Linked DNA regions of Anolis sagrei. The protein of the gene in region 2 interacts with the protein of the main gene of each other region in a biochemical or structural test. Links are inferred from orthologs where the notes say so. Each region holds a gene or a part of one and is shown on either strand. Other genes may lie near its edges. The genes, in order: EPO, HIF1A, USP20 and MTA1.

Region 1 (7,618 bases), on a different chromosome or scaffold from region 2:
ACACCGGATATTTTCCCCAAAGCCTGTGAAACCCAAACTCTGCAGAGTCCCTTTCCTTGGTGGTCAGCGCACCAGCTGCCCCTTCGAAGTGCGCAAGAGCCACACCGGATATTTTCCCCAAAGCCTGTGAAACCCAAACTCTGCAGAGTCCCTTTCCTTGGTGGTCAGCGCACCAGCTGCCCCTTCGAAGTGCGCAAGAGCCACACCGGATATTTTCCCCAAAGCCTGTGAAACCCAAACTCTGCAGAGTCCCTTTCCTTGGTGGTCAGCGCACCAGCTGCCCCTTCGAAGTGCGCAAGAGCCACACCGGATATTTTCCCCAAAGCCTGTGAAACCCAAACTCTGCAGAGTCCCTTTCCTTGGTGGTCAGCGCACCAGCTGCCCCTTCGAAGTGCGCAAGAGCCACACCGGATATTTTCCCCAAAGCCTGTGAAACCCAAACTCTGCAGAGTCCCTTTCCTTGGTGGTCAGCGCACCAGCTGCCCCTTCGAAGTGCGCAAGAGCCACACCGGATATTTTCCCCAAAGCCTGTGAAACCCAAACTCTGCAGAGTCCCTTTCCTTGGTGGTCAGCGCACCAGCTGCCCCTTCGAAGTGCGCAAGAGCCACACCGGATATTTTCCCCAAAGCCTGTGAAACCCAAACTCTGCAGAGTCCCTTTCCTTGGTGGTCACTCCCTGAGACCGGTCAGTGCCAGCCCCTGGCTTAGCAGTCCAAGCCAATCTTGGCAATGTCCAGGGTTGTGTCCGGAACACACAGCACCGGATGCGGAGCCAAACCTTGGCTGGTATTGACCCTTCGATAAGGCAGAGAGGGTCAAAGGACACGAGAGTTGGGGAGGGAGGGAGGGAAGGAGGGAGATGCTTCCGCCAACATCCCAAATAGGAAAGAACCACAAAGCCATAGATGCACAGAATTGGAACATGCTTTGTCTCCTTGCTTAATTTTGGATGAGAGGCGCACCCCAAGCACTCAGTGCGAATCCAGGGAGGGACTGGGAGTTCTGCCATGTTTACTGCTGGAAAGGGGAGGGTGCAAGGAGGCACCTCTCCAGTGGCAACGTCCCAACCTTTCCTGGATCCCACATCAATCGATGGCAGAAGCAAAGGCATCCTTCCCCTGCAGCATTTGGCAAAGGGAATGAGGTCAGATCTGGCCCATCTATATGACCTCTGGAGACCCCTTTGCTAAGGTTTCACAGCTTGGTGGGCATCCTTCCCCTGTTTGTTGTTGTTCATTCATTCAGTCGTCTCCAACTCTTCGTGACCTCATGGACCAGCCCACACCAGAGCTCCCTGTCGGCCGTCACCACCCCCAGCTCCTTCAAGGTCAGTCCAGTCACTTCAAGGATGCCGTCCATCCATCTTGCCCTTGGTCGGCCCCTCTTCCTTTTGCCTTCCACTTTCCCCAGCATCATTCCCTTCTCTAGGCTTTGCTGTCTCCTCATGATGTGGCCAAAGGACTTCCGCTTTGTCTCTAGTCTCCTTCCCTCCAGTGAGCAGTCGGGCTTCATTTCCTGGAGGATGGACTGGTTGGATCTTCTCGCAGTCCAAGGCACTCTCAGAACTTTCCTCCAACACCACAGCTCAAAAGCATCTCTCTTCTTTCGCTCAGCCTTCCCGAAGGTCCAGCTCTCACATCCGGAGGTGACTACAGGGAAGACCATGGCTTGGACTAGGCAATGGATCTTGGTTGCCAGTCTGATGTCTCTACTCTTGACTATTTTATCGAGACTGGACATTGCTCTCCTCCCAAGAAGGAAGCGTCTCCTGATTTCATGGCCACAGTCCGCATCTGCAGTCATCTTTGCGCCTAGAAATACAACGTCCGTCACGGCCTCCACCTTTTCTCCCTCTATTTCCCAGTTGTCAATCATTCTTGTTGCCATAATCTTGGTTTTTTTGACGTTGAGCTGCAACCCGGCTTTTGCGCTTTCTTCTTTCACCTTGATGAGAAGGCTCCTCAGCTCCTCCTCGCTTTCGGCCATCAGAGTGGTGTCATCTGCATATCTGAGGTTGTTAATGTTTCTTCCAGCAATTTTCACCCAGCTTTGCATTCCTCAAACCCCGCACATCCTCGCATGATGTGTTCTGCATACACGTTAAAAAGGTTGGGTGAGAGGATGCAGCCTTGCCGGACGCCTTTCCCAATCTTGAACCCATCTCCTGTTCCGTGGTCAGTTCTGACTGTTGCTACTTGGTCCTTGTACAGATTCCTCAGGAGAGAGGGAAGGGGGCTTGGGATGCCCATCCCACGAAAAACTTGCCACAATTTATTATGATCCACACAGTCAAAGGCTTTAGAATAGTCAATGAAACAGAAATAGATGTTTTTCTGACACTCCCTGCCTTTCTCCATTATCCTTCCCCTGTAGTGTTTGGCAAAGGGAATGAGATCAGATCTGGCCCATCTATATGACCTCTGAAGACCCCTTTGCTAAGGTTTCACAGCTTGGTGGGCATCCTTCCCCTGCAGCATTTGGCAAAGGGAATGAGGTCAGATCTTGCCCGTCTATATGACATCTGGAGACCCCTTTGTCAAGGTTTCACAGCTTGGTGGGCATCCTTCCCCTGCAGCATTGTGGGGTCTCCAGAGGTAAGATCTGGCCTGTCTATATGACCTCTGGAGATCCCACAAATGTCAGTATTCATCATTTGAAGGGTGGGCACTGGATGGGACACAAAGGGACCAAAGCATCATTCCTTTGCAGCATTCGGGCAAAAGGCTCCAAGCTCAGATCTGACCTGTCTATATGACCTCTGGAGACCCCATGAATGTCAGAATTCATCCTTTAAAGGGGGGTGGCAGCATTGGATAGGCGACAAAGGGATCGAGGCATCTTTCCTTGCAGCATTTAGGCAAAGGGTCCAAGCTCAGTTCAGGTCCCTCTATATGACCTCTGGAGACCCCATGCATGTCGGAATTTATCCTTTAAAGCGGGGGTGGGCATTGAATAGGGCACAAAGGAATTGAGGCATCTTTCCTTGCAGCATTCGGGCAAAAGGGTCCAAGATCAGATCTGGTCCATCTATATGACCTCTCAAGACCCCATTAATGTCAGAATTGATCATTTAAAGGGTGGGCATTGGATAGCGCAGTGGGTTAAAGCACCGAGCTGCTGAATTTGCTGACCAAAAGGTTGCAGGTTCGAATCTGGGGTGAGCTCCTGCTGTTAGCCCCAGCTTCTGCCAACCTAGCAGTTCAAAAATATGCAAATGTGAGTAGATCAATAGGTACCGCTTTGGTGGGAAGGTAATGGCACTCCATGCAGTCCTGCCAGTGGCCACATGACCTTGGAGGTGTCTACGGACAACGCCGGTTCTTCAGCTGAGAAATAGAGATGGGCTCCAACCCCCAAATTCGGACACGACTGGACTTAATGTCAAGGGGAAAAACTTTACCTTACCTATTGGATGGGACACAAAGGGACCGAGGCATCTTTCCTTGTAGCATTTGGCAAAAGGTTCCAAACTCAGATCAGGTCTGTCTAGATGACCTCTGAAGACCCCACAAATGTCAGAATTCATCAGTTTTGGTTGGACCCCCATTAAACTAGATTCAGTGGCTGCAAAGAGAGCCGAACACAATTGATTCAGTGGTTCCAGATGTGACTGGAAATGGTGATTTATAGTTCTGACCGAGAGGCACAAGTCCAAAGGGCCACCTGGGGCCGCAGGAGGGTACAACCAAATTGTGAGAATTTGCCGGTCATCCCCCACCCCCTCTTGGTGTGATGTCCATTCCAGGTGGCTTTGCTGTGGCCAAACCCAGAGGAAGTGACCGTTCCTCCCCAGAGCCCCCTTTTGGCCGCAACAACCGGTGTCCGCACTCTCTGCCTTTGGCCGGCTGCCAGGAGGCTGACCTTTCCCACCTTCGCGCCTGGACCTGTGGCTGGCTGGACTCCGGCCAGAGAGCGCCGACGTGCCTCCTGTGGCATGGGCCACTCTCTCGCAGGCGCTGGGGCTTGATCCGGCGCAGGTTTCATCACCATCAATATTATGATTTTGGTGATGATGAGGAGGAGGGTTGCCATGCCCACCGGCTCAAGCCTGGAGTTTCCGGCCTGGAGAGAATAACTGTCCCTCTGGCTGAGGTCCGGCCCAGAGCCATTCCTCTGCAGGGAAGGGCCGGCCGGAGTCAGTCCTCTTTGGACCGCTGCAAAAGGACACCGGGTGAAACATTAACCGCCTCTCGTGCCGCTACGCAGCTCCTGGGGTCTGCCGTGGAAAGACCAGGGGGTCGCCACAGAAGGAAAATATCACCGATATGCTGGGATCCCAAACTGGTGGCTGAGGGGCGAGACTGGTTTGGAGCGGCCTGCAATCCAAAGTGGACATCTGAGCCCAGAAGACTCACCTGGACATCGTCAGTCTCACCTAGCCGCCAGAGGAGAGCTCCCTTTGGCCAGAGCGCTGGACATCCGAGTGGCTCCTCTGAAGACTCACCTGGAGGCGTGGACTGTGGCTGAGGACACCTGGAGACTGACCTCTGACCTCTTCACCTGGACTTTGAGTGGCCTGGAGAGACGAACGCTCCCAAAGAAGAGGGACATCTCAACTGCCGGACGATTCCGTGGACGAAGGCACCTGGAGACACATTGCTAAGGTTCTGAGAAATCCCTCGAGAGCAACGGCCAGCCCTTTGGCTCCTTTTGGCCAGACCGCTGGACGTTCCCGTGACCGCTCCATGGACTCACCTGGAAGCCTGCATCGTAGTTGAGGGTCCCCATGGACTTGGAGTGACACCGAAGGCAGCCCCCCAACTCATTTTGGACCCGCAGCAGTGGAAGCCCATGGCTAGCCATGGGGCAGGAGGGGTCCGCTAGTCGCTAAGGCCATGCGCTTTCGGCTATGGGGATACCTGGTGAGTCGCCGTCCCGGCCAAGGGGCAGCTCCAGCAACCATCGATCGATCCATACATCGATCGGGGTTGGGTTGGGTTGGGTTGGGTGGCTGCCAAGGGGATTGGCAAGCTGGGCTCCGGCAGGGAGCCAAGGGGGGCACAGGGCACCGGAGCCAGCTTTCTATGTTCTCCATGTTCTCTGTTGTTGTATGTTCTCACCTTGGCTCCGGAGGGCAGAGAAAGGGGTCTTGGTTCTGGTCCGGAGAACTGGCCATTGAATCAAGGCATGGACCAAGCCTCAGCTTACTTCCGACTCTAGGATTCTGTGATGGTCATCTGTCGGGAGGGATTTGATGGTGTCTTCCTTTACAGCAGAAGGGGGTTGGACTAGATGACCTTTGGGAGTCTCTCCCAACCTTAGGGTTCTATGATTCAGAGGCTGGGTACACATCTGTCGGGAGGGATTTGATGGTGTCTTTCTTTACAGCAGAAGGGGGTTGGACTAGATGACCTTTGGGAGTCTCTCCCAACCCTAGGGTTCTATGATTCAGAGGCTGGGTACACATCTGTCGGAAGGGATTAGATAGTGTCTTCCTTTACTGCAGAATGAGGTTTGACTAGATGACCTTTGGGAGTCTCTCCCAACTCTAGCATTCCAAGATTCAGAGGCTGGATGGCCATCTGTTGGGAGGGATTAGATGATGTTTTCCTTTACAGCAGAAGGGGTTCGACTAGATAACCTTTGGATGTCTCTCCCAAATCTAAGATTCTGTGACTCAGAGGTTTGATGGCCATCTGTCGGGAGGGATTCAATGGTGCCTTCCTTTATTGCAGAATGGGGTTGGAGTGGATGGACTTGGGGTCTCTTCCAACTCTAGCATTGGATTATTCAGAGGCTGGATAGCCATCTGTCAGGAGGTATTAGATGGTGTCTTCCTTGACGATCGAAGGGGGTTCGACTAGATGACCTTTAGGAGTCTCTCACAACTCTAGCATTCAATGATTCAGAGGCTGGATGGCCATCTGTGATGAGAGATTAGATGGTGTTTCCCTCTACAGCAGAGTCTCTCCAAGCTCTAAGATTCTGTAATTCAGAGGCTGGTTGGCCATCTGTTGAGAGGGATTCAATGGTGTCTTCCTTCATGGCAGAAGGGGATTGGACTGGATAGCCCACAGTGTCTCTTCGGTCTCTAGCTTTTGGTGATTCAGTCTGGATGGCCATCTGTCAGGAGGGATTAGATGGTGTCTTCCTTTATGGCAGAAGGGGTTCAACTAGATGACCTTTGGGAGACTCTCCCAACTCTAAGATGTACAATTCAGAGGCTGGATGGCCATCTGTCAGGAGAGGTTCAATGGTGTCTTCCTTTTTGGCAGAAGGGGGTTGGACTGGAGGGACCTTGGGTTCTCTTCCAACTCAAGCATTCGATGATTCAGAGGGTAGATGGCCATCTGTCAGGAGATATTAGATGGTGTTGGACTGGAGGGACCTTGGGTTCTCTTCCAACTCAAGCATTTGATGATTCAGAGGATGGATGGCCATCTGTCAGGAGATATTAGATGATGTTGGACTGGAGGAACCTTGGGTTCTCTTCCAACTCAAGCATTTGATGATTCAGAGGCTGGATGGCCATCTTTCAGGAGGGATTAGATGGTGTTGGACTGGAGGGACCTTGGGTTCTCTTCCAACTCAAGCATTTGATGATTCAGAGGGTGGATGGCCATCTTCCAGGAGGGATTAGATGGTGTTGGACTGGAGGGACCTTGTGTTCTTTTCCAACTCAAGCATTCGATGATTTAAAGGGTAGATGGCTATCTATCAGGAGATATTAGATGATGTTGGACTGGAGGGACCTTGGGTTCTCTTCCAACTCAAGCATTTGATGATTCAGAGGCTGGGTGGCCATCTTTCAGGAGGGATTAGATGGTGTTGGACTGGACGGACCTTGGGTTCTCTTCCAACTCAAGCATTCGATGATTCAGAGGCTGGATGGCCATCTTTCAGGAGGGATTAGATGGTGTTGGACTGGCTGGACCTTGGAGTCTCTTCCAAATCTAGGAGTCTATGATTCTATGCAGTCCTCCAAAATTTCTATTCTCAATCTAGGAAAGAAGAAGGATTGTGGCAAGGACTGGAAATAGTCACTGTGTTCAGACTACAGCTCCCAGAATCCCCAGGCCAAATGTGGGAGTTGTTGAGGAAATAAACTGGAACTTTATCAATTTATATAGCTCTAAAGACCAGGAGTCTTATATACAAGACATCTCATTACGGACATTGATGCGAATCCAAAACATTTTGGATAAGGCTGACCCAATCCTCCCAGGGTTGGGGATGCTGGGTGCTGTAGTCCCAAAGCAAACGTTGTTTCCCAGGCTGTCCGGCCTGTTTTTGCCCTTCAAGGGCCTGGAGAGAAACTTGGTGAGTTAAAGTGTGAAGGACTGGAGATAGCGATAAGCCTCCTTGTCAACACCAGAGGCTCAGGAACTCGGCACATGCGAAAGCAGCTGGGATGGAATTTGGAACGGCATCCCTCTGCGCCAAAGGGAAGCATGCGAATGGAAGCAGGAGATCCAATCGAGCAGGGAAGCCACCCCCAAAGTCTTGAAGACTGTACCCAAGTGACACATTTGCACTTGGGCCCTCCCTCCAGGTGTTTTGGACTCCAACTCCCACCATTCCTAACATAGAATCATAGAATCCTAGAATCAAAGAGTTGGAAGAGACCTCCTGGGCCATCCAGTCCAACCCCATTCTGCCAAGAAGCAGGAATATTGCA
Region 2 (8,036 bases):
TATACTGCGAATGCTTACTTTGCGTAATGGGTTGAGCCGCCCCTGATGGTACCTTCAGTCACTTCCTGAGACCACTGTGACTCACACCAATGACTGATCAAGACCAAACTTGGCATACAGAGTCCTCATGATCCATCCTATATCCTGGTGCCATTTGGAGGAGGAAGGACCACAGACGATGGGACTTACATATGGGAGTTGGAGTTTACCTATACCCACTGAAGCCAACTGACATTGGATCCAGACTCCAACTGGAGTGCAGACAAACAATGCCTATCTCAAATAGCCTGGGCATCACTGGGTCCCCAAGCTAGTAAATAAATAAAAGGCCAAACATGCTGAAAGTTTTGGTTTTACATTTTTTTGATCAGTTCATTTATGTTCACAATGTTGGTCATGAATAGGAAATAACTATGCATATAATTAGAGAAAAAAATTGATGGGTTAACTTTACCTTTTCACTTCAAATGTTTAAAAGCAATGCTTTTGGATGAAACATGCAGAATAATCACAGGATGTCTTCAACCTACACCTGTTGATAAACTCTACAAAAGCTAGCTGGCATTGCCCCTCCTGATTTTATTTATTTATCGTGTCATCCGCAACCAGAACATTGTATTACATTTCTAACAGAACAAAACAAACAAACAGATAAAAAAACCCCACAAATTTTGCAAACTTGGTAGCTGATTAAATGTCCTTTGACCAGTATCTGGCCACTTGGAGTGCCTCTGGTGTTGCCGCAAGAAGGTCCTCCATCGTGCATGTGGCAGGGCTCAAGTTGCATTGCAGCAGGTGGTCAGTGGTTTGCTCTTCTCCACACTCGCATGTCGTGGATTCAACTTTGAGGCCCATTTCTTAAGATGGCTCTGCATCTCGTGGTGTCAGAGTGCAGTCTGTTCAGCGCCTTCCAAGTCGCCCAGTCTTCTGTGTGCCCAGGGGGGAGTCTCTCATCTGGTATCACCCACGGATTGAGGTGTTGGGTTTGAGCCTGCCACTTTTGAACTCTCGCTTGCTGAGGTGTTCCAGCGAGTGTCTCTGTAGATCTAAGAAAAGTATTTCTTGATTTAGGTTGTTGACATACTGGCTGATACCCAAACAAGGGATGAGCTGGAGATGTCTCTGCTTGGTCCTTTCACTATTGGCTGCTACTTCCCAGCGGATGTCAGGTGGTGCAATACCGGCTAAGCAGTGTAATTTCTCCAGTGGTGTAGGACGCAGACACCCTGTGATAATGCGGCATGTCTCATTAAGAGCCACATCCACTGTTTTAGTGTGGTGAGATGTGTTCCACACTGGGCATGCGTACTCAGCAGCAGAGTAGCACAGCGCAAGGGCAGATGTCTTCACTGTATCTGGTTGTGATCCCCAGGTTGTGCCAGTCAGCTTTCGTATGATATTGTTTCTAGCACCCACTTTTTGTTTGATGTTCAGGCAGTGCTTCTTGTAGGTCAGAGAACGGTCCAGAGTGACTCCCAGGTATTTGGGTGCGCTGCAATGCTCCAGTGGGATTCCTTCCCAGGTAATCCTCAGAGCTCGGGATGCCCCTCCTGATGTGTGATGGGAAGTTGCTGCTAAATGTGAGAGAAATAAGGTTGAACACTGTCCACTGTGTCCTGCCTCATGTACAGAGGAGGAATTGTTGGAGGCTACAGACAATGCCGTTGCTGTTGCTCGTTTTTGGTGAAAAGATATTTAGCCGCCTGTACGCCTTCTATTTTTTATCAGTTTTATACTAATTTATGCAATGATTTCGATACGAAATAAAATATAACCTTTTTGCTTTAAGCAGATTGGCTATTGTATTGCCTTCAACTGCCAGTTTTCTCCTGTTCTTATATTCTATGTTTATTGTATGTAAACTGCCCTGTTAAACTTTACTTTAAGATGGAATTAAATAAACAAAACCTTATCACTTAGGAGCCGTGTAATGCATATAAGGAAGTGGCAGAACCTTACGTCTAGAGGCTTTTCTGCTATGATACAAATACCTCTCTGGAATACAACAAAATATAACATCCTCAAAAGATTATTAGACAATCAAAATAAAGACAACACATCAAGCAAGCTTTTGAAGCTTCACCATCTTCCTGATAGTATAGGCATGGGCAAACTTTGGTCCTCCTGATGTTTTGGACTTTTACTCCCACAATTCCTAACATCTTAGTTTGCCCATGCATGTGATAATAGATGCATGATGGCTAGCTTACACTCTGCATGTACTCAGAGGCATTCTTGGTGCTTCATGCGGGACCAAAATAAACCCCGAGACTCAAGGCCTCCTCAGGAACTCTTGGCAAATAATGGGATGTCTTATTGATATCATCATTATTATAACACACACATATCCAGCAGACTCTCAGTTAACGAGGAATCAAGCAACTGGAGCTTTTAAGCAACCAGCAAACCCCCCCAGCAGGTATAATATGCATTTTAAAAAGTCCTGCCAAGATCCCAAGTCCAGGGTGAAACTGAGCACAATGTAGACGCCCACTCCAGCCTCAAAGACAGGCTTCCTTGACCTCCACTTATGGATGCTGCAGTTTCCAGTCAGCTTGCAACTGCATTAAATAATAAGCGTAGATGCCATTCAATACAATTTCTCAGTACTAGGCTGTTAGGAATTGTGGGAATTGAAGTGCAAAACATCTGGAGGGCCAAATGTTGCCCATGTCTGCACTAGAGCATCTATCCACTTTAAATCTGATTGCTGCCTCCTGCAGGATTTTGGAGTTTGTAGTTTAGGGAGGCCTGGGATCTCTTTATCTGAGCAGTTTAAAGGGTTACCCCCAAACTACAAACACCAGAATTCTGCAGAAGGCAGCAACCAGATTTAAAATTGATTGATTCTCCAACTCCCACAATTCCTAACAACCTACCTCTATGTATGATGAAGTCCATACAAAAGACAAGAGGAGGAGAAGAGGAAAAGAAGGGAAAGAGGAAGAGGAGGTGAAGGAGAAGAAGATGGTGGTGGTGGTGAGGAGGAGGAGCATGGAAGAAGAGGAGAAGGAAGAGAAAGGATTAAGATGAGGAGGGAGGAAGAAGAGAAGGAGGAAGGAAAAGAAAGAAGAGGAGGTGAAGTTGAGAGATCAAGGTGAAAAAGAAGAGAAGATGGGGGAAGAAGAAGAGGTGGAATGGAGGGAGTAGACAGGAACAGAAAGCAAAAAGGAGAGAAAAGGAAGGGAAAAAAGAAGAGAAGGAAAAGAGAAAATCAGAATTGAAGAGACGTGAGAAGAAAAGTTGAAGAAGAGGAGGAGCAGGGAAGAAGAAGAGAAAGTGAAGTAAGAGTAGAGGAGGACGGAGAAGAAGAGGAGACAGGAAAAAGAAGCAAGGAAAGATAAAGAAACAAGTCGACCATGTGCTCTGTTTTAAACTGTTTATTTTAAATGTATTTATATGTTACTGTTTTGATTATAATCTACTATGTATTTTATTTGTTTTTATGTGGCATTGAATGATTGGCAATTGGAAGCGGCTCTGAGTCCCCTTCGGGGTTGAGATAGAGCGAGGTAAAAAGTACAGTAAATAAATAAGGAGGGGAAGAAGAAGACGAGAAAAATAGAAGAAAGAGAAGAGGAGGAAGAAAAGGAGGAGAAAACTAAAAGGCGGAGGGGAAAGGAAGGGGAAAAAGAAGAGAAGAAAAAGAGGAAAATCAGAAGAAAAGGAGGGTGGAAGAGGATTAGTGGGCAGAAAAGGTGAAGAAGAGGGGAAGCAGGGAAGAAGAAGAGGAGAAAGAAAAGTAGAAGAGGATGGGGAAAAGAAGAGAAGGAAAGAGGATGAATGGAAGAGAAGAAAAGGACAGAAACAAGAGGAGAAAGTGAAAAAGAGGAGGAGAGATGGGGTGAAGAAAAAGAGAAACAGAAGAAAGTGAAAAGGGGGAGAAAAGGAGAAAAAAACAAAAAAGAGAAAAGGAAAGGAAAAAATGAAGAAAAAGAGGAAAATCAAAAAAAAGAGAAAGGGGAAAGGAGAAGAAGAGGAAAAGCAGGGAAGAAGAAAAGGAGAAAGAAGTATCAGGAGAAGAAGAGGATGGGGAAGAGAGGAAGGAAAGGAGAAAACGAAAAGGAGAAGAGAAAAAAGGGAAAAGAAGGGAAGGAAAATAGAATGAGAAGAGAGGAGGGTAGAAGAAGGGAGGAAGAGATAGAGAAGTAGGAGAAGGGGATGGAGAGAGAGTAAGGAAAGGAGAAAACAAAAAAGGAGAAAAGAAGAAAAGAAGGGAAAAGAAGCGAAGGAAAAGAGAGGAATGAGAAGAGAGGAGGGAAGAAGAAGGGAAGAAGAGAAAGAGAAGTAGGAGGAGAAGGGGGTGGGGAGAGAGGAAGGAAAGGAGAAAACGAAAAGGAGAAGAGAAGAAAGGAAGGGAAAAGAAGAGAAGGAAGAGAACGAGAAGAGAGGAGGGAAGAAGAAGAGAAAGAGAAGTAGGAGGAGGAGAAGAGGAATGAGTAATAAGAAGAGAAAACGAAAAAAAGAAAAAAGGGAAGAAGGGAAGAAGAAAAGAAAAGTAGTAGAAGAAGAGGATGAGAAAGAGGGGAAGGAAAGGAGAAAACGAAAAGGAGAAGAGAAGAAAGGAAGGGAAAAGAAAAGAAGGAAAATGGAGAATGAGAAGAGAGGAGGGAAGAAGAAAAAGATAAGGAGAAGTAGGGGGAAGAAGAGGATGGGGAAAAGAAGAAGAAAAGGAGAAAATGAAAAGGAGAAGAGAAGAAAGGGAAAAGAAGAGGAGGAAAAGAGGAGGGAAGAAGAAGAGAAAGAGGAGGAGAAAAAGAAGGAGAAAAGGAGAAAAGGAGGAGGAGGAGGATAAAGAGGAGGCCGCCTTCCCTTCCTGCCTTCTGCGCGCGCAACCGGCGGGGGGAGGGAGACACTCACGTGAGGCAGGCGGGCGGGGCCACGCCCCCTCCGGGCGGCGGTCCTCGCGCCGCCTCCCGATTGGCCGAGGCGGAGCTCGTGACGGGCCAGCCGGGAATAGGCCCCGCCCCCTCCCCTCCCCTCCTCCTCCTCCTCCTCAGACCGCGCTGAGAGAGAGTGAAGAGAGCCTCGCGGTGGCTGCCTTCCCTGCTTCGGCCTCCCTTTTCTGTGTCCCTCGGCCTTCCTCTCCGGCCAAGCTGGCTTCCTCGGCTTCTTCGTCCTCCGCCGACGACGGCGACGAGGCCGCCATGGAGCCCGGAGCCACCCCGGGAGGCTCCAGCGAGAAGAAAAGGTACGAAGGAGGAGAAAGATTAGGAGGCAGGCCTTGCTCTTCTCCTTCCTGTAGGAATGAATGCCTGGGGAGGAGAGAGATGGAGAGAATGGTGGAACTTCCTTCCTCTCTGTTATTGCTCCTTCTGAACTTTCTGTTTTCCTTCCTTTCTCCTTCCTTCCCTTTGTTGTTGATGATGGAGGAGAGGAGGAAGACTTCTCTTCCATTATTCCCAATTTTTCTTTCTTTCTTTGCTTTCTTTCTTCCACCTTCCTTCCTTCCCTTCATTCTCCATTCAGGCCTCTTCTAGACATCTGTAGTCCTTACCTTCATTCTCCATTCTTCTAGACATCTGTACACAATCCACATTATCTCCTTTGAACTGGATTATCTGGCAGTGTGGACCAGGCATGGGCCAACTTGGGCCCTCCAGGTGTTTTGGACTTCAACTCCCACAATTCCCAACAGCCTGTTGGGAATTGTGGGAGTTGAAGTCCAAAACACCTGGAGGGCCCAAGTTGGCCCATGCCTGGTCTACACTGCCAGATAATCCAGAATATCTGCTTTGAACTGGGTTATCTGAGCCCACACTGCCATATTTATTATTTATTTATATATTATATATTTACAACACTTATATGCCACCCTTCTCATCCCAAAGGAGACTCAGAGTGGTTTACAATACACACACACATACACAATATATTATATTATTAGCATAGTGCAAAATCAGTATTATATATTACTGTATTGTGCTATACCACTATATTGTAATACTACATGTAATACAGGGTTAGTCAAAATGAATAGGCCAATAAACACACATATACACACACATATACAATATATTATATTATTAGCATAGTACAAAATCAGTATTATATATTACTACGTCGTGCTATACCACTATATTGTAATATTACATGTAATACAAAATATGTAATTATAATATCCTATTATTATTAGTATTTATTTATTTTCAGCATTTCTACCCCCATTCCTTCTCAACCCCTGAAATGGCTAGAAGGATACTACTATATTGTAATACTATTACTAATATTAGTAATATTACATGTAATATAAAATATATAAATTATAATATCATATTATTGGTAGTAATATTGTATTATTTATTTATTTATTTATTTCCAGCATTTCTACCCCGTCCTTCTCAACCCCTGATATTAGCATAGTACAGTATCAGTATTATATATTACTATCTCATGCTATACCATTATGTTGCAATATTATTAGTAATATTACATGTAATATAAAATATGTAATTATAATATCATATTATTAGTAGTAGTATTGTTTTATTTATTTATTTCCAGCATTTCTACCCCCGTTCCTTCTCAATCCCTGAAGGGGGACTCAGGATGGCTTACAAGATATATATATGTGTGTGTGTGTGTATGGGTATATATATATACACACACACACACACACACATATATATATATATAATATTATTAGCATAATACAAAATCAGTATTATATATTACTATATTGTGCTATACCACTATATTGTAATATTATTAGTAATATTACATGTAATATAAAATATATAATTATTATATCCTATTATTCGTTGTATTATATTGTATTATTTATTTATTTCCAGCATTTCTACTTCTCAACCCCTGATATTAGCATAGTATAGTATCAGTATTATATATTGCAATATCGTGCTATACCATCATGTTGCAATATTATTAGTAATATTACATGTAATATGAAATATATAATTATTATATCCTATTATTAGTAGTAGTATTATATTGTAGTATTTATTTATTTCCAGCATTTCTATCCTGTCCTTCTCAACCCATGAAGGGGGACTCAGGATGGCTTACATTTGGCAACAATTTGATGCCATTAAATACAACAAAGCAATATAACAACAATAAAAACAGTATTAACCACCGTATCACCATTCCAGCCAAATTCCATATCCAAAGCGCTATTTATGTCTGCTGTCCAAAAACCTGGTCCCAGAACCACGACTCAATTTCTTCCTAAAAGACAGGAGGGATGAGGCCTGTCTTACCTCGTTGGGAAGCGAGTTCCACAGCTGGGGGGGGGGGGGGGGCTACAGCCGAGAAGGCCCTGTCTCTCGTCCCCGCCAGACGTATTTGCGACGCTGGCGGGAGCGAGAGCAGGGTCTCCCCGGATGATCTTAAATTGCAAGACAGGACGTATTATATTATTAGCATAGCACAGGAGACAAGGTGGACTTGTCTTCTGGTCCCTCTCTCTTCACTCTGGTCCAGAGCAGCAGTTGGTGCTGGGGGGAGGGGTCCCCAACTGATGACATATGCAGTAGACAAGATGGAACTGTCCCCTGCCCCCCTTTCACTCTGGCCCAGAGCATCAGTTGGTATATTCCAGTTCAAAGCAGAAAATGTGGAATTTTATTCAGGGCCTTTCTAGACAGGCCCTATATCCCGGGATCTGATCCCAGGTTTTCTGCTTTGAAGTGGATTATATGAGTCCGCACTGCCTCAAAAATCTGGAATAAACAGAAAACTTGGGATCAGATCCTGGGATATAGGGGCCTGTCTGGAAGGGTCCTCAGGTAATCAGTTCAAAGCAGGTCATGTTGGGTTATCTGCCTCGATATTCTGGATTATATGGCAGTGTAAAAAGGCCTTCACAATCCCAAATCAGATCTGAGCCTTTATTCCCCAGGTTCAAGTGATAACCCCCATTTCCCCCCACCAAATCCAGTTTCTTCCTTCAAAGGGCCCTTCCACACAGCCCTATATCCCAGAATATCAAGGCAGAAAATCCCACAATATCTGCTTTGAGCTCAGTTGTCTGAGTGCATACTCAGATAATGTTGGATTTTCTGCCTTGATATTCT
Region 3 (7,171 bases), on a different chromosome or scaffold from region 2:
TATAGGTACATACTTCAGAACTGATGACTAAATACACTCTTAAGCCAAACCTAATTCACATCCAAGGTATTTCCTCTCCCAGCTAATTCAATTCTACTCCTCAAATCAATGCTCCCCCCCCCCCCCCCACCATACTGTGTCCCAAGCACAAATTCAGCCATCCATGGTTTGAAAAATATATTTTTTTAATTGGGGAGGGGATCCGTTCTATATCAGGAGCTTCATCTTACTATGAGCATGCAAATCTCAGGCCGCAGCACAGCTTCAGGTAGGGAATAGATTCCGATTATTTTCCTGCCTCCTGCCAGAAATAAAACCTCCAAGCGGTCACGTGACACTGAACAGCTGATTGTTCCTCCCAATAAATGAACATGCCATTATTCATCATTTTTCCTCACAGAAGCATCCCTGCCACTCTCCTTTCTGCCCTTGGCTTCCCATTTCTCCTTGTGCCACCATCTTCCCAATATTAAGAGTCTTGTGTGTGTGTGTATATATATATAGATAGAGAGAGAGAGAACACACACACATACATATATATACATACACACATAAAAACTGCTTTCAATTTATGGTTAGATATTATAAACACGACTATATATATATAGATAATATTGATATAGTAATATATAATACTGATATTGTACTATGCTAATAATATAATATATTGTATGTATATATATCTTGTAAGCTGCTCTGAGTCCCCTTAATTATATATTTTATATTACATGTAACATTACTAATAATATTACAATATAATGGTATAGTACAATATAGCAATATTTAATACTGATATTGTGCTATGGTAATAATGAAATATATTGTATGTATATATATCTTGTAAGCCGCTCTGAGTCCCCTTTGGGGTGAGAAGGGCGGCATATAAATATCATGAATAAATAAATAATAGTAGTAATAATAATACTAATAATAATTGTGTCTCCTGCACTGGGCTAATAATATAATATAATATAATATAACATATTGTGTATATATATAATATTTATAATGTTATAATGTAATACAATATAATACTAATAATACGATATTATAATTATATATTTTATATTACATGTAACATTACTAATAATATTACAATATAATGGTATAGTACAATATAGCAATATTTAATACTGATATTCTGCTATGGTAATAATGAAATATATTGTATGTATATATAACTTGTAAGCTGCTCTGAGTCCCCTTCCGGGTGAGAAGGGCGGCATATAAATGTCGTAAATATATATATATATATATATATATGGAGCCTCCAGTGGCGCAAGTTGTTAAACATAAGTGTGTATGTGTGCATGCGCTATATATATTGCATACAATATGTTAGTACAAACAATATTTATTTATTTATTTATTTATTACATTTATATGCCGCCCTTCTCACCCCGAAGCGGACTCAGAGCGGCTTACAAGATATACATACATACAATATATTATATTATTAGCATAGTACAATGTCAGTTATATATTACTATATTGTACTAATATGTTAGTACAAACAATATTTATTTATTTATTTATGACATTTATATGCCGCCCTTCTCACCCCAAAGCGGACTCAGAGCGGCTTACAAGATATATATACATACAATATATTATATTATCAGCATAGTACAATGTCAGTATTATATATTCCTATATTGTACTACACCATTATATTGTAATATTATTAGTAATGTTACATTTAATATAAAATATATAATTATACTATTGTATTATTAGTAGCTTTATTGTATTACATTATAATATTATAAATATTATATGTATATACAATATATTATATGTGTGTGTATTAACACAAATAAACGTGAACAGCATATATTCATATATATATATATATATATATATATAGCATTCAATATATTCATTCCAAATATATAAGCTGTGTGTATTCTATACATATGTGTGTAAACACAAATAAGTGAACAGCATATATATGTATATATAAAGTACATATAATATATTAATTCCAAATATATAAGTGCTCTCTCTCTCTCTATATATATATATACACACATATATACAGCTTATATATTTGGAATATATATATATATATATTTGTCAGCACAAACAAAAATAAATAGCACAGACACATATAGATATGTATGTATAGAATACACACTGAGAGAGAGCTTATATATTTGGAATGAATATATTGCATGCAGTTTATATATATTTATATATGCTGTTTTCTTATTTGTGTTTACACACATATGTGTAGAATACACACAGCTTATATATTTGGAATGAATATATTACATATATATATATATGCTGTTCACTTTTATTGTGTTAACAAACAAACACACACACATATATATATACAGCTTATATATTTGGAATGAATACATTACATGCAGTTTATATGTGTGTATGTGTGTGTGCATACACATACACACACACATGCTGTTCACTTTGTGTTAACACACAAACACACATATATGTATAGAATACACACACAAACATATATATACACACAGCTTATATATTTGGAATGAATATATTGCATGCAGTTTATATATATAGATATAGATATGCTGTTCACTTTTATTTGTGTTAATACACACACACATATATATGTATAGAATACACATACAAACATATATATGAACTACAGGCAATACATTAAGCAAAACAAATGATATATATAGATATACACAATATAATAGACAATACAAATAAATCTATAAGTGTAGAAACCCCCCCCCCCCCCAAAATACCTGAGGGGCCCTTCCCGGGAGGGCGCCTCTTTCCCGGGGCGGCGTTCTACGCGAGGCCGGTGCTTAGGCGCCCGGCTAGGCCTCGGTTCGCTTCCCAGGCCTGAGGCCCAGCAATAGCCTTCCTCCGCCCTTCCCTCCCGCGAAGGGCGGCCGCTCGGAAGCCCGAGACAAGAGAAGGCCGGAGGCGGCGAAGAGAACGCCGGCGGAGGAGAAGAACCCTCTGTGGCGGCGCTCCAACCTCAGCCCTCAAAACGTTCCGGACTCCAACTCCCAGAAACCCTCGCCGGCTTCTTCAATGGCTGGGAATTCTGGGAAATGAAGTCCCAAGCGGCTTGGCGCGACGCCAATGGACGGAATCACAATGAGAAAGCGGCTTCAAGCGTTCTGGACTCCATTTCCCAGAAGGCCTTGACAGCTTGTTCAATGGATAGGAATTCTGGGAAATGAAGTCCAAAACACAGGTTGAACGGACCAATGGGAAGGCGCCAATGGAAAAGGGGCGGGAAAAACAAATTCAGGCTGCTTTTCTCTGAGTCTGGACTTCATGGTCTCTCAATTGGACACAACCACAACAACAACAACAACAACAATGGCTGTATGGGAGAAAAAAGGTAGGAAAATAGGATAATATTATTTATCTATTAAATGAACTGCATGGTCTAAGATTGACATAATAATAATAATAATAATAATAATAATAATGCTCAAGATCCTGCAAGGAAGACTCCAGCAATACATGGAGCGAGAGTTGCCAGATGTTCAAGCTGGGTTTAGAAAAGGCAGAGGAACGAGAGACCAGATTGCCAATATCCGGATGCTGGAGAATGGAGAAAGGCAGGGAGTGTCAGAAAAACATCCACTTCTGCTTCATTGACTATTCTAAAGCCTTTGACTGTGTGGATCATCATAAATGGTGGCAAGTTCTTGGTGGGATGGGCATCCCAAGCCCCCTTCCCTCTCTCCTGAGGAATCTGACCAAGGACCAAGTAGCAACAGTCAGAACTGACCACGGAACAGGAGACAGGTTCAAGATTGGGAAAGGCGTACAAGGCTGCAGACTCTCCCCCAACCTTTTTAACGTGTATGCAGAACACATCATGCGAGGATGTGCGGGGCTTGATGAATGCAAAGCTGGGGTGAAAATGGCTGGAAGAAACATTAACAACCCCAGATATGCAGATGACACCACTCTGATGGCCGAAAGCGAGGAGGAGCTGAGGAGCCTTCTAATCAAGGTGAAAGAAGAAAGCGCAAAAGCCGGGTTGCAGCTAAACATAAAAAAACCCAAGATTATTGACAACTGGGAAATAGAGGGAGAAATCCTGAAATCCCCAAATCCATGACGATCGAAATTTCACACTTTTGTGCACTTAAGGAAACATATTGGAATTTCGCATCTAGGCTTGGGACCACCTGTAAGATATCTAATTAAGTATGCATATTATTCAAATACAGGATATGTTTATGCAAATGTAGGTGAAATCCCCAAATCCATGACAATCGATATTTCACATTTTTGTGTATGTAAGGAAACCTATTGGAATTTCGCACCTAGGCTTGGGACTACCTGCAAGATATCTAATTAAGTATGCACAGTATGCAAATGCAGATGAAATCCCAAAGTAACAATTAGTTTTTAAATTATCCAGATGCTTCTGTGTTTCTTTAGGCATTTTAGACCCTTATTGCATTGTATTCAAAATCTGACTAGCTTCTCTATATTCACCCCAAAGGCTTGTTTTGCCCAATGGCTGCATCCTTGTTTTGCCCTCACTTCAGCCAGGGCGGAACTGGCTTCGGCGCACGTTGTCGACGTCACCTGCACGCGACGCTCCCGCCCGTCAGAAAGCGCTTTCCTTCAGGTTGAGGCCGAGGAGGGGGCCTTCGGAGGGGGCCGCGGACATTGCTGTCTTCCGCAATGCCGGCGGGGAAGTGTTTCCGCCGGAGGAAAGCGGATTCCGAGGAGGAGGAAGATGAGGAAGACCAGCACCTCACCCGGGAAGTCCGGTCAGTATTTCCCCTCCATTTCTGGTGTTGTGAACGGCCTTCAGGCCCATTTCCAGTGGCGAAGAGCATTCGGCGCCATTTTGGGCCCGCGAAGGCTCATGGGAGTGGTAGTTCCGCAAAGGATTGGCCCGCCCTGCTTTAAAGGGACTGTCGCCTCCCTAGAACTACAACTCCCAAGCGCTATCGCGGGTCGCCAGGGCAGTTCGAATGCCATTAAATACAATGATCCCCCCCCCCGCTTTTTTGCAAGGAGAAATAGAGTAATAATCTACACATTCTATTCTATATTATCTTCTATCTATACACATTCATACACACACAGATATATATACATTCATACGCAAAATACATACCAAATAATCTATCTACATATTCTATATTCTATCTAAACACATATACATACATACACATATAGACACAATGCACACAGAATAATCTACACTTTATATTCTATATTCTTTTTGTCTATACACGTATATACACGTACACATACAGAATAATCTATCTACACATTCTATACACACATAAACATATATACATTCATATAAACATAATACATACAGAATAATCTACACATTCTATTATATATTCTATCTATGCACATGCATACATATACATTTATTTATTTAAAACATTTGTATTCCACCCTTCTCACCCTTTCGGGGAATATATAAGGGACTAAGGGCGGAGCACAGCATATACACAACAAACATTCCATGCCGGGACACAAATTCACACACATAAACATTAAAAAATTATCTCAATATTAAAATACACCATTTAAAACCGTCCTAGTCATCCGTGTAAAATCTAATTGGCCTGGACATCTTTCCTATTGCTGTTTTATTGCATACATACAGAATAATCTTATCTATACGTTCTATATTCTTTCTATACACACACATATATATATATACATACATACACATAATAAATACAGAAGAATCTATGTATTCTATTTTTTTCTATCTATACACATACATATATATGCACATATACACATACATAGACATATATACATGTACACATACATACACATAATAAATACAGAAGAATCTATGTATTCTATTTTGTTCTATCTATACACATAGATATATATGCACATATACACATACATAGACATATATACATGTACACATACATACACATAATAAATACAGAAGAATCTATGTATTCTATTTTGTTCTATCTATACACATACATATATATGCACATATACACATACATAGACATATATACACGTACACATACATACACATAATACATACAGAATAATTATCTACACATTCTATTCTTTGCTTTATTCTATTCTATCTATACATATACGTACATACACATATATCCACATACATACACATAATACATACATACATTACATATAGTAATATGATATAATAATAATAAATCCCTCCCTCAAAAGGACATAGCAGCAGACGCCATGAACACGTCTTTCAACCTCTGCCTCATAACCCGAGGATGATGGCCCTCCAAGTGCAGTGTCTTGGCAGTGGGTCTGTAAGTGCCTTTGGCCCGCATGTTCTTCCACAGTGAGAGCATCGGTTTCCAGGTGGAAGGCGGTCCCGGTCAGGGTTGGCTTGACGCGCCTTCATCATGGCACATTTCTCCCTTTCGCCTTCAATTCATGCCTCTTCGAATTCCACAGCACTGCTGGTCACAGCTGACCTCTAGCTAGAGCGCTCAAGGGCCAGGGCTTCTGTGTCTCTGCCACAGTTTTTAAGGTTGGCTTTAAGTCCCTTTTTCAATCTCTTTTGCTGTCCACCAGCATTATGTTTCCCATTCTTGAGTTCAAAGAATAGTAACTTCTTTGGGTGATGGTGATCTTTGGGCATTCAGACTAACGTTGCATTCAGTCCAGCAGAGTTGATGGCAGAGGACCATTGCTTCAATGCTGGTGGTCTTTGCTTCTTCCAGCATGCTGACATTTTCCTGCCTCTCTTCCCAAGAGATTTGCAGGATTTTCCGGAGGCAACGCTGATGGAATCATTCCAAAAGTTGAGTTTGACGTCTGTAGACAGTCCACGTTTCGCAGGCATATAGCAGGGTTGGGAGGATACAATTTAAAATTCATAGTTTAGCCTTGGCTGGATCGACCTGAAGAAGAGAGAGGCTTCGTTCCGTTTGAAATTCTGGCAGAAAGGATTGAATCTAGCCTTTGTTTTTCTCTCTCTCTTCTCAGGTTGAAACTGGAGGAAGCCAAAGAAGTGCAGAATTTGAGGAAGAGACCAAATGGCGTCAGGTCGGTGTTTTATTTTATTTTATTTTGATCCTACTTTTCTCCCAAATGTCTCATGTCGATCCCAAGGTAACACAATCCAGGAATTGCCAAAAAATTATAATTACAGCATAAGTCCACAAGCAAAAGGTATCCTTAGTAAAACTTGAGCAGGAATACAAAAACAAGAGCATAG
Region 4 (6,886 bases), on a different chromosome or scaffold from region 2:
GCGGGAACTCACCCTGACTCGCAAATTGAACTGCCATCCTTCTGGTCAGCAAGATTTTCTGCAGCTGACAGTTTAACCCGCTACTTGCTGGCTGGGATGCTAGGATTTGGTAATTTAGCAACAGTGAAGTTCAATAGTACACTTGCCCAAACTTATTATTAAATAATAATTTTTAGGATCCACAATAGTATAATGGGTGGCTGCCAGAGAAAGAACTTTCTTTCTGGTGGTTCTCTTCCCATGGAATGCTCTCATGAGAAAAATTCACCAGACTTTCTCCTTGGTAGTATTTAGATGCCAAAAACATTTTAAGATTGGGCCAGATATATATAAAAATGTAAATAAATAGGTAGACATTTGGACAGAACTATAAACAGCAGACATTTGTTTTATTACAAGCAGCCCACAGGTTATTCCAGAACAGTCCGGCATGCCAAAATCCTTCACCAGCTGGTTCAAGCCAAAAAATAAACAACTCCTCTTTTGTCCATGTTGGACTGATTCTCTGAAGTGAAGCAATACCATTATGGAAAGATGGGCTGCAATTCTTAGTTGAGGACTCCACAGACACCGCTGGAGGTTCTAGAGTTCTTCCTTTCCCAATGCTTTACTGGTGTGATCACATTTTCCATAATAAGTTCCAAAAGTCTGGTGTAGCTCCAGGATCATCTGCACTTTCCTAGAGTTTACTGTAGGTCACCACAGAAGCCGTGCCTGCAATGCATTGGCTTAGCCTTGTGCCACTGTGATTTTATGTACGTAAATTCTTGTAGCATTCAGCCTAAGGAATGGGTCTGTTATGTCTAGCTAGAGACAGGTACTGAAATGAAAATCCCATGTTTTCTGTTTTGCCTATGTAGATATTTTTATCTGAAAAGTAATTTGTTCAGTAGCAAGTGTCTCATGCCACTTTATACACAAATAGAGCTACATTTCCATACATTGGAGTTGCCTGTATGGAGTATCTGTTCATTGGAAGATAGACATAGGAATATGGTGTGTGTTTGTGTGTAAAGAGTGGGACCAAATGGTAATAAAATGTAAGATTTCTGACTCAGTGATGAATGAAAGTCAAAGGGATGAGATTAATCCCTCACATCAGATGGATGAATTAGTCCCACCCTCATGGTCCCCATGAGCAGGATGGCTCTCTTTCACAGCTGTAGTAAATGCTACAGCAGAAGAGTGGCAGTTGTGGTTCCCTGAAGTAACTTCATTAGTATCTTAGTGTGAGGCTCCTGCCTACTCCGGATTTCGTTTTCAAGTGGTCCCCACAGAGCAAGTTGTCATTGCATCACTCAGAAGGGCCCAACAAGGAAAATCCCTTAGATAGCTGTAAACTAGGCTTCACATCAAGGCATCCAGTTGTTGGGCAAGTAGTGGCAATAATGGAGGGGGAATGGATGGGAGGAAATTTCCCACCTTATTCAGTATTATGCCATCGCTTGAAGTATAAATATACATAAAACAAGCATGATGATATTGTTTATATTAAAGTCCTTGTCAAAAACTACCTCTCCCATTTCAAGGCCATTTGGACCCCACTGATTGAACAGTATAAAAAGAATGGATTTAGTATCGAAGGTCCCTTCTATGCTGGCCTATATCCCAGGATGTGATCCCAGATTATCTGGCAGTGGAGATGCATATAATTGAGTTCAAAGCAGATAATCTGGGATCAGATCCTGGGATATAGGGTGGTGTAGAAAGAACCTTTGCTGCACTTTGTTTCCAAATCGCTTACTCAGAACAGTGGCTCCGAAGTTTTAAGCAAGAACAAGAAGGAAAACATGGCAAAATAACTAATTTGTAAAGTTCCTTAAAAAGAGAAACAGTTGAGGCAGGATATCTTGCCTCTTGAAGGAAATAACTGGCAGTTTCAGCCTGTACATCCTTCAGGGTACAACTTGGGAGGTTTGTCAAGAGTGAACTTGCTAGACAATAGAACTTTGCTCAAATTGTCAAATGAAGGGATATCTATTTCTAATCAGTCCATCTTTTTCATTGTATTTTTTTTAAAGACTGTAAATGTATATAGCTTTTTTTTGGAATAAACTGCAATGTAGACTACTTTATTAAATATTTTATTATATTAATGCACCACTAATAAAACTGAATTGGAAACACACCTGTTCTAAGTCTTGTTTTGGAATGAGTTATTTCACTTTCTGCTTCCTGTTCTTACCAAGCAATATTTAGGTGTCAATTAAAAGCTTTGGGATGGATGGCATATGTTCTGTATCAGAAACTATAGCTGATGTGGTCTATTCAATGTAATTTTCTGAATCAGCATCCCAAACCGAATCTAAAATTGACAAAAACTGACTCATAATGCCTACCTGCGTGACTGCATCTCTGTATACGAACCCACACGATCCCTTCGATCATCCGGAGAGGCCCTGCTCTCGATCCCACCAACATCGCAGGCGCGATTGGTGGGGACGAGAGAGAGGACCTTATCGGTGGTGGCCCCTCGACTCTGGAACTCACTCCCTAAAGACATCAGACAGGCCTAACTGGCAGTCTTCAGGAGGAGCTTGAAGACATGGCTGTTCCAGTGTGCCTTCCGGGAATAATGATCCCATAGCACTTTGTCCTCCAAAGCACCTTACATTACTTTAGGTCTGCTCGTATGCCCTTCCGCAAACACCACTATCACCTTTTCGTCCATGTCCCAGCATTATTTCTAATTTTAACTCTACATTTGGCCTTCCCACTGTTTTTAATTGTGTGTTGTCTTATTGATAATGTTGTATATTTTATTGTCTATGTTTTTATTTTAATTGCTTGTATTGTTGTTACTATTGCTTGTATTGTTGTGTTTGGGCTCGGCCTCATGTAAGCCACACCGAGTCCCTTGGGGAGATGGTAGCGGGGTACAAATAAAGTGTTATTATTATTATTATTATTATTATCCTTTTGGTACTAATGTTGGGAGAGTGGTCTCTGGTCAAAGTGGTCCCTGGTCAAAAAAAGCTTGGGAACTATTGTTATAAATGGAGATGAAATTGAGTAAGTGACTGAATATGTATATCTTGGACAACAAGTTGTTGTTGTTGTTCATTCGTTCAGTCGTCTCCGACTCTTCGTGACCTCATGGACCAGCCCACGCCAGAGCTCCCTGTTGGCCGTTACCACCCCCAGCTCCTTCAAGGTCAGTCCAGTCATTTCAAGGATGCCATCCATCCATCTTGCCCTTGGTCGGCCCCTCTTCCTTTTTCCTTCCACTTTCCCCAGCATAATTGTCTTCTCTAGGCTTTCCTGTCTCCTCATGATGTGGCCAAAGTACTTCAACTTTGTCTCTAGTATCTTTCCCTCCAGTGAGCAGTCGGGCTTTATTTCCTGGAGGATGGACTGGTTGGATCTTCTCGCGGTCCAAGGCACTCTCAGCACTTTCACAACAAGTACAGCCCTATAATTTGGCAAATGGTGAATAGGCAAGACAACCCAAGGTTCCTTGGGCGGCTTTTAATCTAAACTGGACAGTGCTAACATTTAATAATCTGCCAATGAAGGTCTGAGCAGATATACTCAACACTACAGTTCTACCGGCAATATTATATGCATCTGAAACATGAACAACAAAATTAGAGGAGGAAAACTGGTGGTGACTTAGAGCAATGGGAAGGGTGTGGGGTGACAATAAAAGAGCAAGTCAGCAACAAAGAGCTGGCTACTAGTATTAAAAATATTCCAAAGGCTTGTCCAAAGAGCCAGTTCTTCGTTGGCGGCCTCCCTTCCTCCTATTTGCAAAAGGCGCCCCACCACGCGCTTCCCGCCCTTGCTCCTTCGCCCCTCCCCTTCCAGAGCCGGAGTGCGCGCGCAGCCTGCTGGGTCTCGCGCAGCCCGGGGGCGGAGCCACGTCCGCGAGGGCAGGGGCCGAGGCTGAGGCGGCGGCGGACTGGAGGCGCCGCGCCGTTCAGGCTGCCTTGCCCTGCCCCTCCCTCCCTCCCTCTCTCCCGCATCCTCCCTCTCTGAGGGGCCGAGACAGTAGTCCTCCCCGCCGGGCCTTCCCTCCTTCCTTTCTTCCTTCCCTCCTTCTCCGGCATGGCTGCCAATATGTACCGCGTCGGAGGTAAGCTCTCCCTTCGCTCGGCATCCCTGAGGAGACTGGGCCGGGCCTGCTCCGTGAGGCATTGTCTCTGAAGCAGCGAGAAGGCGGGCTGAGGAGTGAGTGGAGCCGCCTCTGGGAAGCAGCTCGAGGCCTCCCCTCCCTCCCTCCCTCCCACCGGCCGGATGCTCCAGGAGTGAGGCTGCGCGGGGGTTCAGCCAAGACCAGGCGCCCTCCAGCTGTGGGGGTCTCCAACTCCCCGCTTGTTCGGTGGGAGTTGTAGGCCCGCGCAGTTGGAGGAGGCCTGGGCTGGAGCTTCCCAGAGGATGCCCGGCGCCTGTCACGTTTGCAGCCCTCTGTGGCCCACGCAGGCCGGTCCCTGAGCCCTTCTGTCAAAGCAAGAGGGCTGATGCCGACTGTGGAGCGCGGTCCCTTTTGTTGTTGCCAACTCTTCTTCCTCAGTAGCCGGGAAAGAGTGGCCCAAGCCCCATCTCCACTGCCTGTTTGGAACTGTATTGTTACACGACAGTGTAGGTCAGGCATGGGCAAACTTGGGACCTCCGGGTGATTTGGACTTCAATTCCCACAATTCCTAACAGCCAGAAGAAGAAGAACTTTATTTTTCTACCCTGACTCCCAGGCATGTAGCCGGGGGGGGGGGGGGGGGCTTGAAGGGCTTCAGCCCCCTCCCCCCCCCCCCCCGAAATGCTCATGGTGGTTCACGAAAAGGCCTTACTGGTGCATTATTTAAACTGTTATGTTTATTCATATCATGATCTGATCACCATACATGCATGGGGGTATTGGGGTAATGATACAAAAGGTTTGCTAGCGTAGGCCCTCTTTCACTCAGACTCAGCCCCCCCCCCCCCAAATCAAAATCCTGGCTACGGGCCTGCCACCTCCTTTCTTACTTAGGTGATCCCTCGTTTTCCGAGGAGGATTGTCTCCCAATATTCTTGTGGGTCCGTATGTGGCTGTGGAGCTCTATTCTTGCTCTGCAACTTCTTTCGCAGTGAGGGCATTGGTTTCCAGGTGGAAGGGGGTCTTGGTCGGGGTTGGCTTGACGTGCCTTCCTCTTGGCACGCTTCTCCCTTTCACCCTCCATTCGTGCCTCTTCAAATTCTGCAGCATTGCTGGTCACAGCTGACCTCCAGCTGGAGTGGTCAAGGGCCAGGGCTTCCCAGTTCTCAGTGTCTATGCCAGAGTTTTTAAGGTTGGCTTTGAGCCTGTAGGACTGAAGACCGACAGGTCGCAAGTTCAAATCCGGGGCAGGCGGATGAGCTCCCTTCTAACAGCTCCAGCTCTTCATGCAAGGACATGAGAGAAGCCTCCCACAAGGATGATAAAAACATCAAATCATCCAGGCGTCCCCTGGGCAACATCCTTGCAGACGGCCAATTCTCTCACACCAGAAGCAACTTGCAGTTTCTCAAGTCGCTCCTGACACAACAAAAAAGAGAGAGAGAGAGAGAGAGAGAAGCCTCCCACAAGGATGATAAAAACATCAAATCATCCGGCCACCCCCTGAGCAACATCCTTGCAGACGGCCAATTCTCTCACACCAGAAGCAACTTGCAGTTTCTCAAGTTGCTCCTGACACGACAAAAAATAATGAGAGAAGCCTCCCACAAGGATGATAAAACATCAAAAATCATCCAGGCGTCCCCTGGGCAACATCCTTACAGACGGCCAATTCTCTCACACCAGAAGCAACTTGCAGTTTCTCAAGTCGCTCCTGACACGACAAAAAAAAAAAAAACTCCCTGAAGGGACTCGGGGCGGCTTACATGGGGCCCAAGCCCAGGCAGAGTACAATTAAAATAAAGCAATAACAATTAAAACCCCAGCAACGTGTCCCAGAAGCACTTTACTAGAGACTTAAGATTGTTCGCACATTGCACTTACCGAAAAATCCTTATATTTCAACTGTCATACTCAGCACTTTTAATCTGTACCCATCTACACTTGGCCCGGCCTTAGTTTTATTGTGCTACGGTGTAATGTTTTTACTGTTTACTGTTATTGCTTAATGTTTTCATTTGTTTTATGGTTTATGTGTATTGTTGTATTGTTGTTTTATTGAGGCCTTGGCCTTTGTAAGCCACATCGAGTCCTTCGGGAGATGCTAGCGGGGTACAAATAAAGTTAATAATAATAATAATAATAATAATAATAATAATAAAACAGCATAAAACAACATAACAAAAATAGCTAGCAACAACAATAACAGCAGACTAATTTTGGGGAGAGGAAAACCACTACGTGAACTAGATAAAGGATAAAGTGGTTTAGTAAGGTAGATGACAATGTATGAAGGCATAGGAAAAATCATGGAAACAGAGCAAATTAACAGTATCAGTTAATATAATATAGGACATCAAATTGAATGACAGTTCAAGTCATAATAAAGTGGGAGTTGAAGTCCAAAACACCTGGAGGGCCCAAGTTTGCCCTAGTGTAGATGGAGCCTCAGTATTTATCACTGTGCTTTGTCTGGAGTGCCATATTTTACATACAGGTGGGGGGGGGGAGTATTTAGTCAGATACCAATTGTACAAGTTCTCCCACTTAAAAAGATGAGAGAGGCCTGTAATTGACATCATCAACTATGAGAGACAGCATGAGAAAACATCCAGAAAATCACACTGTCTGATTTTTGACGAATGTATTTGCAAATTGTGGTGGAAAATAAGTATTTGGTCCATAACAAAAGTTCATCTCAATACTTTGTTATATATCCTTTATTGGCAATGACAGAGGTCAGATGTTTTCTGGAAGTCCTCATAAGTTTGGCGCATACTGTTGTTGGTATGTTAGCCCATTCCTCCATGC

The links.
Region 1: the proteins of HIF1A (region 2) and EPO form a complex in vitro, tested with the Homo sapiens proteins (2 studies listed by BioGRID). The link is inferred for Anolis sagrei from reciprocal best matches to the Homo sapiens genes HIF1A and EPO.
Region 3: of the proteins of HIF1A (region 2) and USP20, one has a biochemical effect on the other in vitro, tested with the Homo sapiens proteins (2 studies listed by BioGRID and IntAct, with this or other methods). The link is inferred for Anolis sagrei from reciprocal best matches to the Homo sapiens genes HIF1A and USP20.
Region 4: the proteins of HIF1A (region 2) and MTA1 form a complex in vitro, tested with the Homo sapiens proteins (2 studies listed by BioGRID). The link is inferred for Anolis sagrei from reciprocal best matches to the Homo sapiens genes HIF1A and MTA1.

The regions. Positions count from the first base shown.
Region 1 is NC_090026.1:2,690,873-2,698,490, forward strand, and holds the start of EPO (erythropoietin), read left to right. Parts: upstream 1-4,580; 5' UTR 4,581-4,849; coding exon 4,850-4,862; intron 4,863-7,618. UniProt on the Homo sapiens protein: Hormone involved in the regulation of erythrocyte proliferation and differentiation and the maintenance of a physiological level of circulating erythrocyte mass.
Region 2 is NC_090021.1:332,082,674-332,090,709, reverse strand, and holds the start of HIF1A (hypoxia-inducible factor 1-alpha), read left to right. Parts: upstream 1-4,984; 5' UTR 4,985-5,147; coding exon 5,148-5,191; intron 5,192-8,036.
Region 3 is NC_090031.1:3,029,851-3,037,021, reverse strand, and holds the start of USP20 (ubiquitin carboxyl-terminal hydrolase 20), read right to left. Parts: upstream 3,039-7,171; 5' UTR 2,736-3,038; intron 269-2,735; exon of another isoform or gene 231-268; intron 1-230. Other genes in the region: C11H9orf78 (splicing factor C9orf78 homolog), read left to right, coding at 4,654-4,742, 6,940-6,999.
Region 4 is NC_090024.1:132,906,144-132,913,029, reverse strand, and holds the start of MTA1 (metastasis-associated protein MTA1), read left to right. Parts: upstream 1-3,853; 5' UTR 3,854-4,047; coding exon 4,048-4,075; intron 4,076-6,886. UniProt on the Homo sapiens protein: Transcriptional coregulator which can act as both a transcriptional corepressor and coactivator. Acts as a component of the histone deacetylase NuRD complex which participates in the remodeling of chromatin.